Linked DNA regions of Nothobranchius furzeri. The protein of the gene in region 2 interacts with the protein of the main gene of each other region in a pairwise test. Links are inferred from orthologs where the notes say so. Each region holds a gene or a part of one and is shown on either strand. Other genes may lie near its edges. The genes, in order: inha, siah1 and upp2.

Region 1 (2,923 bases), on a different chromosome or scaffold from region 2:
AAACCCATAATTATAACTAATTGTTTTTTAAACTTACAATAAAAGACACAACGTTACAAATTATGAGTGTCAGAACTAATAATTATGGCTGTCAGATTAGATCATCCCTGTAGGCCACCCCCGATTGTAGGTACTCACATTGGCAGAGGAAACCAGATGGCGCTAAACACTACATGGTGTTTTTTAGGTCCAAATATCTTAACCATCTCAGGCTCAATAAGTTTTGATAAAAGGACGAACATTCAAGCCCTTCAGGGGTACTTCTGAGTTAAACAATGCTCATGAAATATGTATGTTGCGTAACCAGGTAGGTAGGTTTTAGCATTGCTAATCTGCAACGCCTGCCTCCAGAGGGTTAAACTGTTCGTGAATTCAAATGGTGTTTTTCTTTTTCGGACTCCGATAGTTTCTCCTAAAGTTGAAGTGGTAGCAGCTGGCTGTTTCTCCTTTATCACTGAGCGGAGAACCTCTCACACCAGTGGTGTTCTGCTGCTAAAAGCAGGAAAAGAGTGGAGGACTCAGGAAAAGGCGGATTTGTGGTCAAGAGGCATGAAAAAAAAGAATGGTGCTAGCTTGTTTGCAGATTAGCTTTTGCAGCTTTGAATATTTTTTGGGGAAAAAAATTTGTTTTTAAAATCACGAAGTCTGACCAGTTTATTTTATTCCAGAATCCAAAGACATTTTTAACTCGACATGTACAAAGAAATTTCAATCACATCTTTTGGTTTGGGTTAGGTAAAAGAAAATGAACAGTTCCACAACTCTCATCTGAGACGATTTAATACGAACGCTAAACTCCTAAAATATTAAACGAGTGAATTTCCCCATTTTCTGCTGAAGAAAAATCCATCACATCTGCAGGTCACCACGGGAAGTCTCTCAGTGGGAGGGATTTCGGGGAACCTTTGGGGTTCAGACACAGGTGCACTCCTTAGGCATGATGTTGGGCAGGGTCTCATACTTGAAGGAATACCCACCATCAGATGTTGTCGTGATCTTCAGGGACTTCATGGACCCTGGAACCGGCGCGCAGCACTGAGTCATCCCTAATCTAGCGGCGGCCCGATCCCAAGCCGAGCAGTTCCCATGACAATAGTAAAAGGTAAGCACCTTCGGTTGGACGATCCAGCTGTCCCAGCCCAGCTCCTCAAAGCTGATCTCGATTTCTTCTCTGCGGCAGTCGTCGTGCTGAGGTTCCTCCTGTGAGGGCCTCTGGAGGAGGTGTAGGGCTGTAGGAGACCAGGGGATGGTTACTGCTGCATCACGGGGAGAACGGGTACGACCCCTGGGCTTGACGTGGAGATGAAGAAAGGCCATCTGCTCTGGGTCACGATTCCACTGACAGGCCAGACACCGGACCTGAAGCAGAAATGGACCCTCAGCAATGGAGTTCATCAACGGCCCATCCAGACTGAAGGTGCTCCATCCATCAGAGCTCCTCAGTGTTGGAGTTTGTGCTGCCTGGTAGAGCTGCTGTGCTGAGAAGATGAAGAGTGAGGCAGACGAACCAGCTCCTCCCTCAAAGAAGCAGAAGTGAGCAGATGTGACCACAGCGGCCTGAAGGTTTTTAGAGGGCTGGAAGTAGAAGGTGAAGTAGCTTCTGGTGCTTTTATTCATGGCTGAGTCAACAAGGGCAAAAGATGAGTCTGCAGGAACGTAAGTAAAGAGAAGGTTCCTAAAGAAAAGTTGAAGGTAAATTACAAAACTTTATTTTACTCAAATGAAAAAAAAAAGCTTCTCACCAGATGGGAACAGAATCACCTGAGACGTGTCCCGGTCCCTGCTGGGTTCATGGTTCTCCCTCACTGCTCTGGTGGTCCGGAGGACCCTCCTGTGTCTCTGCTCCACGTTTGGTGGTGTTGTGTCCTCTCCAGGACCCCGTACCTTGGTAAGAGGTGGCTTCTCCAGACCCAAGTTCTCCAGAACCCGCTCTTTAAACCAGGACAAGATGACTCCCCTGGGCAGCTCCTCTGGCTTGTAGGCTTGGACCAAACTCTGGATCCAGAGCAGAACCAGGAGAGGCATACCACAGGACACCATGACTGCACTGATGTTGTTGCTCTCTGGGTCTGAGAAAAGTCTGCAAGCTGCAGCGTTTTGTTACTGTCTCACAAATGATGATAAAGGATGACCTTGGAACTTCTGATTTGCAGGTTTTTCACAGTCAGAAGCTCTCTGCATGATTTAAATAAAAAATGTCCACCCAGTAGAATATATTTTTGTCATTAAATACACAAATAATTCATGCATGTTGCTTTTATTTCTTCTAAATGATGATGAATGTATCTTCTGCGGGCTTAAAAGGCCTCCTGTCTGCCTCCTTATCTCACCAAGTTAAATCCCTCCTAGAAAACTATTGTCTCTCAGAAACATTTAGTTAAAAGGAACTTTTACAAACTTCATTTAAAACATTTGTGTTCTCTACTAAAAGTGCTCCTTTCTAGTTGAGGTGCTTTTGAGAACTCATTTTTGATTGAAGAAGAAATTTAAACATGTATTTTGAGAATTTCATTAATGTTTTCCATGACTCCAGTATCAAAAATTTTGTTTAGAAACAAAATATTGAGTAAGAAAACTGAAAGTTCTTGTTAGACGTTTTCGTTAAAGCCAGATTTCTTAGATTTTACTGTAAAAATACAAACTTTTTACAAGCATGGTGAGAATAGTATAAAAAAAGTTAAATTGATCATTTATTTGGTTAGAAAAATGAGTAAAGAAATGAGTATTTTTAAAGGAAAAAAACGAAATGTATTGGCTAAAAATCCCATTAAGTATAAAATGTGAAAATGTTGCAGAACAGCGACCCCTGTGTCCATGTTTTGTATCTGCAGTTTGTGTCTTGTCTGTTTTTAATGCAAAGTATGAAAAAGAAAGACTGACCATCGACATTAATATAGACTGACACATAAAAAACACTTATATG
Region 2 (3,754 bases):
GGGTACAGTGGAGGATAGTCTTTAGTGTTTGTTTTCGGCTGAGCTGATGGTGACATCATGGTGTCCTGCTGTAGCTTCAGCGCTGCTGCTGGGACATATCGGTTAGTTTAGTTTGGGGATTTTACACAACATTTAAAGTTCAATCTTAAGGTGGAGACTGGGGCACACTCCCGGAGGTTTGACTAACATTTGGAATGGGAATGATTTAACCTGCGGAGCAGGAACGCTGAGGGAGAAGAAGAGTGAAACTAGGAAAGGAAAAGCAGTGAGAAAGTGAGGTTTGGTGTCAGTGAGGGCAGCTGGTGGTGCAGCCTGCAGCGAGACGGGCTGAAATCTGAGCCGTGCACAACCACAGCACTGCACGGGGTGGGGGTGAAATATGCAGGCTTTATGCTGACATAACCATGTGAGAGGCACAGAGAGGGAAGGGAAAATCAGGCCCGTTAAATCACAGGTCTGATGGGAAAATAGGGAAGAGTGTGTTTGGACTGACATCTGATGGCTGCTGGGCTCTTTTACACAAACACGCGACACCTACGTCACTACAGGAGACGACACCCCATGAACACCGGTGGAGGGAGGGAGGGAGATTTCGGACTTTCCCTTCTTTTCCTCTTCAGACTCTGGAAACACTGGGCTCTGATTATTCCTGTCGTAACGCCGTGAAGGAATTGTTTTTTGCTGCTGGAACCATGTCTTGCTCTCATTTTGGTTGCAAACCAGCGTTTTGGAAAAGCGCTTTGTAGGAGAGTTTTTTTTTACACACTTCTGCAGTTTGGTGCCAAATAGTTCCTGAAAACCTGGCCCAAGGAGCCACGGAGGTGGAACGCACACATGGATTATTGTCCAGTGTTGGAGGAAGCGTGGTGGGATGAAGCTTTTTACTGAAACGGAAAACGACGCTGTGTCGGCGGTTCCACGTCCTTTTGTGTAATCGTCCTAGTCTTTGTTTTTTCGTTTGGCTCGTACCCGACAGACAGACTGCTGCAGTTCCCACCTAATAAAGGAATTATTCATGCTCGTAGCTTATTTTCCTCCCCATCCTGTTATTTTTAGTGGGTTTGGAGGACTTGTTTCCTGTTGCGTGGACCCAGCCTTCGTCTCTTTACTACAACATATCCGAGGGGCAGGAGGAAGAAACATGATCCGATGTTTGGGGCAGCAGCAGTGTGTGGTTTCTGTGGAAAAGGTCTGGGGAATGTGGCGGGGGGGCGCTGCATAAATGTCTTTGGTCCAAGTGAAATCAAAGCCAGCGAGCGTAGCTCTACCGTCTCCACCCTGGAACTCCCTGCTCCGACTCTTCTCGTGTGTCGCCACGAGGGATGTCCACACGCCTAAAGGTGAAGGAGCCCAACCCCCGAAGTGCTTCCGTTATCTGGAACTACGCGGTTCCTTTTCCCACTCATGGATCTAATGTGGTGTTGCAGCTGTGGTCAGAGGTGGGGGAGGGAGGAGCTCACCTTCTGCTCAGCTGTTCCGCTTTAAGACAGCTTTGTGTGTGTGTGTGTGTGTGTGTGTGTGTGTGTGTGTCAGTCAGTCATGATTATGTTGAAGCTCCGCTTGTTTTCATCTCTGCTCTAAATGATGATTTTATTCTGTAATAGAACATCCGGTTTTGTTATCAGGGCTTCAAACTATATGATTATTAATCTAGAATATAATCTACAGAACCATAGACGATCCTGCAGAACCGTCCTCCCCAGCAGTGACTCTCAGTAATCCTGGCCTATTTGATCCGGTTCTCATGCGGTTCTGGAAGAGTTCTGATCCAGTTTGCACAGATGCATTTTGGCACAGCTTCTCTGACTGGACCGCTGCAGCACCTTGGTTCTGTTGTAGGTCTGCTGTGTTTGGGGTCGTTGTCCAGTTTTATGAGCCGGTTAGGTCCAAACTTCAGATGAGGTTCTGGTGGACCACAGAACTGGCCCAAACCACCAGCCGTCCTCCACCAGCTGACATCAGCTGTTAGATTTTCTCTAGACGTGCTGCTGTGCATTATGGGTAAACGTCCTCCCTTCAGTCTCCTCAGTCTGAAGGACTTGATGCCCAACGTCTCTGCAGTCTTGATTCTCGTGTGGATTAAACTGAAGTAGCAAAGTTAATTTCCTGTTATTTATGAAGAATTGGTGCGACTTTAGGTGTGATTGGAATCAGACCTGATGGTGTAACAATGATGCAACAATCCCCCCCCCCCCCCATCACATGTTGGTGTAGAAAATGGGGAAAGTTCCAGTGTGAACACACCTTTACCTGTCTGTGTTTTTGGGTCAGGTTTGTTGTTGAATCCTGACATGACATGATCATAAAATCCCGGAGACAATCGCTGAGTTAAGAAAGCAAAAGGATGGACAGACGAGTAGACGTCAAACTCAGTGGTTATTCTTTTGTCCTTTTTAAGAGGATGAACTGTTCGGAACTGAACTCAAAGGAGAATCAGAATGAAAAAATCTGATTCCAATTTTAATTGTCCCACAGAAATTTTTTGTGCCATTGACTCCCATTCAAACATAAAAAAAAGCTAAATATCACCATACATTTTTTAAAATTTCACTCCAACTGTGTTCCTGCAGCCACCAGGGACTGAAGTTATTTTTACTTTTTTCCTCTAAATGGCATGGCACTGATTTATAACACACTCTAGTAATGTATGTTTTGGAGATTGTGTGGCCAAAAATATTTTTATGCTCATTTGTGACTAGAGCCCTCACAATTCACCCCCAAAAAGTCCTCTGGACATGACACACAAATGATTTAGCATTTTATATTTTTATAATGGTTTTTTTTTTTTTTTTTGACAAAACATGGCACTAAAGGGGTTAAATCTCAAAAACACCCCCCCCCCCCACCCATTTTCTGAACCTGCTTTGTCCACGCAGGGGGGTGGGGGTGTTGGTGCCTATCTCCAGCGGTCAACGGGCACAGGGTACACCCTGGACAGAGAGCCAGTCCATCGCAGATCTCAAAAACACTCAGATATTTTACTTTGTTTGGTGAGGACTGAAGCTAAGGAAAGAATCTGTGTTAAAGATTTTTGACTTTTGAAATGTTATATAATTTTTTATTAAACATTTTGCCAAAATGCATTTTTTTTTGTGCGAGGGTACCAAGTGTAGCTTTTTTTTAAAAGGAAACTCCAAAGGTTAAAAATTAAAGAGATAAATGAAGCGTTGGGTTTGTTAAATATGAATGAAATGTGCTGGCGTCACCAGACAGCCCATTATGGACGTGTCCCTGTAATGGACGCTCCATTAGCAGCAGGTGAGTGGCTGAGAGGTTCTGAGTCTTCTGCTGTCCTCCAGCTGCTGAGCTGATTCCACACACGGGCCTTAAAGTGTCCTTGTCCAAACACTGACTTTAGTTTTAACCACATTCTTTATTTCTACATTTTATTGTCCGATTAAAAGCAGCTCCTCTTGTTTTTGCTGCAAGGATGAAACCTGAATCTGGACTCGATCAGCGCTTGAACTGAAGGGAGCAGATAGTTGAGTTTGTTTTACATTTGTGTGTTTTTGTCTTTTCAGAGGTCCCTTCATTTCAAGATCAGACGAAAGCCTTATTTGGAAATCTTATGGACGAAGGTGAGTAGCAGAGCCTCCGGGAGGTGACCCCCTCTTCTCATAACTAGTTATTGTGAATTTATCTGAGCTGCAGGTTCTCGTGCTTATAACTGATGGCTGCTGATTCATGTGAGGGAAGCTAGATTTTCTGTTTTTAAAACCCAAAATAGTTCTGATCATCAGTAAGTTACCAGTAT
Region 3 (3,754 bases), on a different chromosome or scaffold from region 2:
TGGTCAGGATGCCTCCTGGACGCCTCCCCGGGGAGGTGTTTCGGGCATGTCCTGCCGGCAGGAGGCCCCCGGGTCGACCCAGGACACGTTGGAGAGGTTACATCTCCAATCTGGTCCGGGAACGCCTTGGGGTCCTGCCGGAGGAGCTGGTGGACAAGGCCGGGGAGAGGACGGCCTGGAGCTCCCTAGTTGGGATGCTGCCCCCGCGACCCGGACCCGGATAAGCGGAGGAAGACGAGACGAGACGAGACGATGAAATGCTTTAGCTTGCTTTCCAGACTTAGTCATGTGTACTTTGAGAGAATACTTTTGTAATAAGTAGCCAGAGTTTGTCCAGGGATACAAAGTTGGGTCAGTCAACAATAAATCACGTTAAATGTTTAAACTGCATCATCTGCAGTCCCTCTGGCTACCCTAACAGACACTGAGATGATTGAAAACATTATAACATGTTGCTAATTTGATCATTTCATGAAAAAAGTGTTCAAATCTAATAAATTCTCTGCTTTTTTCAGAGTTTTTGACAAGAAACCAGCACCGGTGGACATGTCCAAGCTGCTCCGCTTCGGTTATGCAGAAGAAAACAAACCAGTACAGTGAGGTGTCAAGTAAGCAGCACAACAACCGACTTAGTCTTGTTTATCATCGTAAAAACACTTTATAATGCAGTCAGAATGCATTTGTAACACAATAAAAGCAAATGAAGGATTTTATGAGATGGTTTTATGAATAGCCCTTCTGAAAATACAGAGACACAAATAATAAAGTGGATTAAACCTTTAAGGGCTGAACCATTAGGATTTTATGAAGTATCCTGACAGTATTATGTAGTAATATTAGTGAATGATTAGTTATTTTTCATGCCAACAGGCTGGAGGACTGCCAGAGGCGCTTCTAAAGCTAGAAGAGTAGACGCCATCTTTTCTTCTTACAATCTGTGTCACGCTGAGCCACAACAAGCATTTAAATTGGTTTTCAAATGTTGAATTAAAAAAATTAGTTTTTTATTTATTTTTCTTGTTATTGGAACCTGATTATATACATCTCTTAAGTTTTGTGCTGTTTCTGTTAAAAAATATTTGACACGTGATTAAAATAAAGTTGAAAATATTCAAAATTTCTCTTTTTTTTTCATTTAAAATCTCATCTTAATCTTGACTTTTAGCTAGGTAGCCCTATTAGTCAGCTTGGTAACTCTGTGCATCTGTTTTGATATGTCAAGTTGTTTCATGTCAGGGTCAAAGGTTATCTCCGTGTTCTCTGAAATTATGTCACAGCATGTCAGGAGTTCGCTGGGATCAGATGGGCTGTCGTTAAAACGCTGCACTCTGAATCATCCCGCTGTTTTTATGTTCTCCTCGGTGCCGTCAGTGGGGAATTATTTTTTTTTTTTTTTTGCACGTTACTCGTGTTTTGTTTTATAAGCGAGTTTATGTTTGACTAGTGGGTGCTTTTACCAGAACAGCGATTGCCGCTACTCCTCTTTATAGAGCCAATCAGTGACGAGGTCAGAGGGGACCACTATATCAGCTGTGCAGCTGAAAGTCACTCCTGTTAGAAAGAAAGCTTTGCAACAAGTTCTTGAACGATCTTCAGCAACCTTTGAAGAAAACCGAAGTCATGGCCCCGATTCTGATTCTGAGCTGCATGGGGCACGATCACAACGAATACATCAAGTGAGTATATCCAGCGTTTTACTATGGTTTTACTTCTGATCGTGGAATAATACAAAAGAAAATACTTCTAGACAACAAGTCCAAGTGAAGAATCCCTATTTGGACACTATGGAGGAGGACATCTTGTACCACTTCAACTTGAGCACAAAGACTCACAACCTTCCAGAGATGTTTGGAGACACAAAGGTTTGTGAAAAGCGGGATTTAAGAACAAAATCAGAGCTAGTTTGATTACACAGATGTCACCTGCTCTGTTTTGTATCTTTCACAGTTTGTTTGTGTTGGAGGAAGCGGAAACCGAATGAAGTCTTTCGCCCAGTTCATGCACAAGGAGCTAAACTTGCCTGGAAACCCAGAGGACATCAGGGATATCTGTGAGGGAACTGATCGCTACTGCATGTACAAAGTGGGACCAGTACTCTCTATAAGTGTAAGCACTTAAAACATTATAATACACACATTTATTATGAATCAGCAGATTCCAGGATTAATTTCCATTTATTGTTTGTGACAGCACGGCATGGGAGTCCCCTCCATCTCCATCATGCTGCATGAGCTCATCAAATTGCTGCATCACGCTCAGTGTCATGATGTGGTTCTGTTTCGCCTGGGAACCTCTGGCGGTGTTGGTAAATTAGTGTTTTTATATTCAAAACTGACAGAAAGCTTCACTCGTGTTGTGATCAATGGGTGGTAAATATGAAATGTCCCTGGTGTTGCCTCCAGGTCTGGCTCCGGGGACAGTAGTGATCACTGATAAGGCAGTGGACTACTCCTTCCGCCCCCAGTTTGAACAAGTTGTTCTGGGTAAAGTCATTACCAGGAGCACGGAGCTGGATGAGGGCGTGGTCAGCGAGCTCCTGCAGTGCTCCCACGAGCTTCAAAACCTGCCAACTGTCATTGGAAACACCATGTGTACCCACGATTTCTATGAAGGTGCCAAACTCATAATAATCCACATTTTATTTTGAAAGAAACGTCTTAATTGAAGGAAAATGGATGCTGTAATCACAGTTTGCTATGAAAAACCCCAAAATGTTAATTCACTATGAGAAAAAATATCAAAGGAAATGATAAAATGTTGAAACAATTTAATTTCACTGCAGAACAGTTATGCCATATTATCTCTCTGCCTGGTAAGGTTATAGCAGACAGGTGGCCAATTCTGACAGAAAACAAACAGCACCAGCCATAACACTCCCCCCCCCCCCCCTTAAGAATAAAGTTATTAACTTTAACACAAATCCCCCACCCTAAATCACAAAACAGCCCCAAAATCAATACTATATGATTAACTGCAGGCCAATGGCATAGGTGCAAAGCAGGAGCTGGGAGGCGACAATCAACTCTGGATTCGATGTAGACAATACAGGTTCCAGAAGTCTCACATCCTTTACACAAACAAATCCACTGCTCACCCAAAGTTCAGTCTCATCACAACGATGATATCCAACAGCGACAGTGATCTTCACCAATGCTCCAGTCTTCCAGACAGGCTGCTCACAGTCACAGATGCAACCAGTCTAGGTGTCAAAGAGACAGTTCACAGTGAGGAAGAGTTTTTCAAAAGCTCTGACCTCTTCCTTTTTAGCGTGGCTAAGCCAGTATCCACCGCAGATGTAGCCACACCAGCAGGGATGACAGGAGGCGGGGCTACCAAGGGTGACACATCTAGGCTTCCAGATCCACAGCACCGTGAGAGCGACGCTCGGTCTTCTCCCCCTACAGAAAATTCGGTCCATTTGAGCCATCTTCAAATCCAGAGATGATGTGTCACCTCCCACATTCCACACCCACAACACACACCAATGAGCGCATGGGATGGAGCGTCTGAACTTTTCTGAAAAAAAAAAATCAATAAAATAAGAAAAACTCCAAAAATATCAAACACCCAGAGGAAGAGCACATGTCCAGGAAGAATTAGGGATCAAAAGAAATCCCGGACGGGCCCCTATTTGTTACGATCCAAGCTGTCTAGAGGGCCTGGGGTAACAGGGAGGACACAAGTTTGGGTGTTTAAAAGTTAACTTAAACAAATTTATTCACACCAAGGAAAATTACTAAACACAACTGGACTA

The links.
Region 1: the proteins of siah1 (region 2) and inha interact in binary tests that used the Homo sapiens proteins (3 or more experiments, as listed by UniProt). The two-hybrid records come from large-scale screens. The link is inferred for Nothobranchius furzeri from reciprocal best matches to the Homo sapiens genes SIAH1 and INHA.
Region 3: the proteins of siah1 (region 2) and upp2 interact in binary tests that used the Homo sapiens proteins (3 or more experiments, as listed by UniProt). The two-hybrid records come from large-scale screens. The link is inferred for Nothobranchius furzeri from reciprocal best matches to the Homo sapiens genes SIAH1 and UPP2.

Annotation. Positions count from the first base shown.
Region 1 is NC_091742.1:62,956,498-62,959,420, forward strand, and holds inha (inhibin alpha chain), read right to left. Parts: upstream 2,145-2,923; 5' UTR 2,041-2,144; coding exon 1,743-2,040; intron 1,647-1,742; coding exon 913-1,646; 3' UTR 645-912; downstream 1-644. UniProt on the Homo sapiens protein: Inhibins and activins inhibit and activate, respectively, the secretion of follitropin by the pituitary gland.
Region 2 is NC_091744.1:81,654,385-81,658,138, forward strand, and holds the start of siah1 (E3 ubiquitin-protein ligase Siah1), read left to right. Parts: upstream 1-992; 5' UTR 993-1,222; coding exon 1,223-1,340; intron 1,341-3,521; coding exon 3,522-3,578; intron 3,579-3,754. UniProt on the Homo sapiens protein: E3 ubiquitin-protein ligase that mediates ubiquitination and subsequent proteasomal degradation of target proteins.
Region 3 is NC_091754.1:18,953,240-18,956,993, forward strand, and holds the start of upp2 (uridine phosphorylase 2), read left to right. Parts: upstream 1-1,501; 5' UTR 1,502-1,620; coding exon 1,621-1,676; intron 1,677-1,747; coding exon 1,748-1,862; intron 1,863-1,947; coding exon 1,948-2,106; intron 2,107-2,190; coding exon 2,191-2,305; intron 2,306-2,402; coding exon 2,403-2,612; intron 2,613-3,754. Other genes in the region: uncharacterized protein C7orf57 homolog, read left to right, coding at 516-600. UniProt on the Homo sapiens protein: Catalyzes the reversible phosphorylytic cleavage of uridine to uracil and ribose-1-phosphate which can then be utilized as carbon and energy sources or in the rescue of pyrimidine bases for nucleotide synthesis.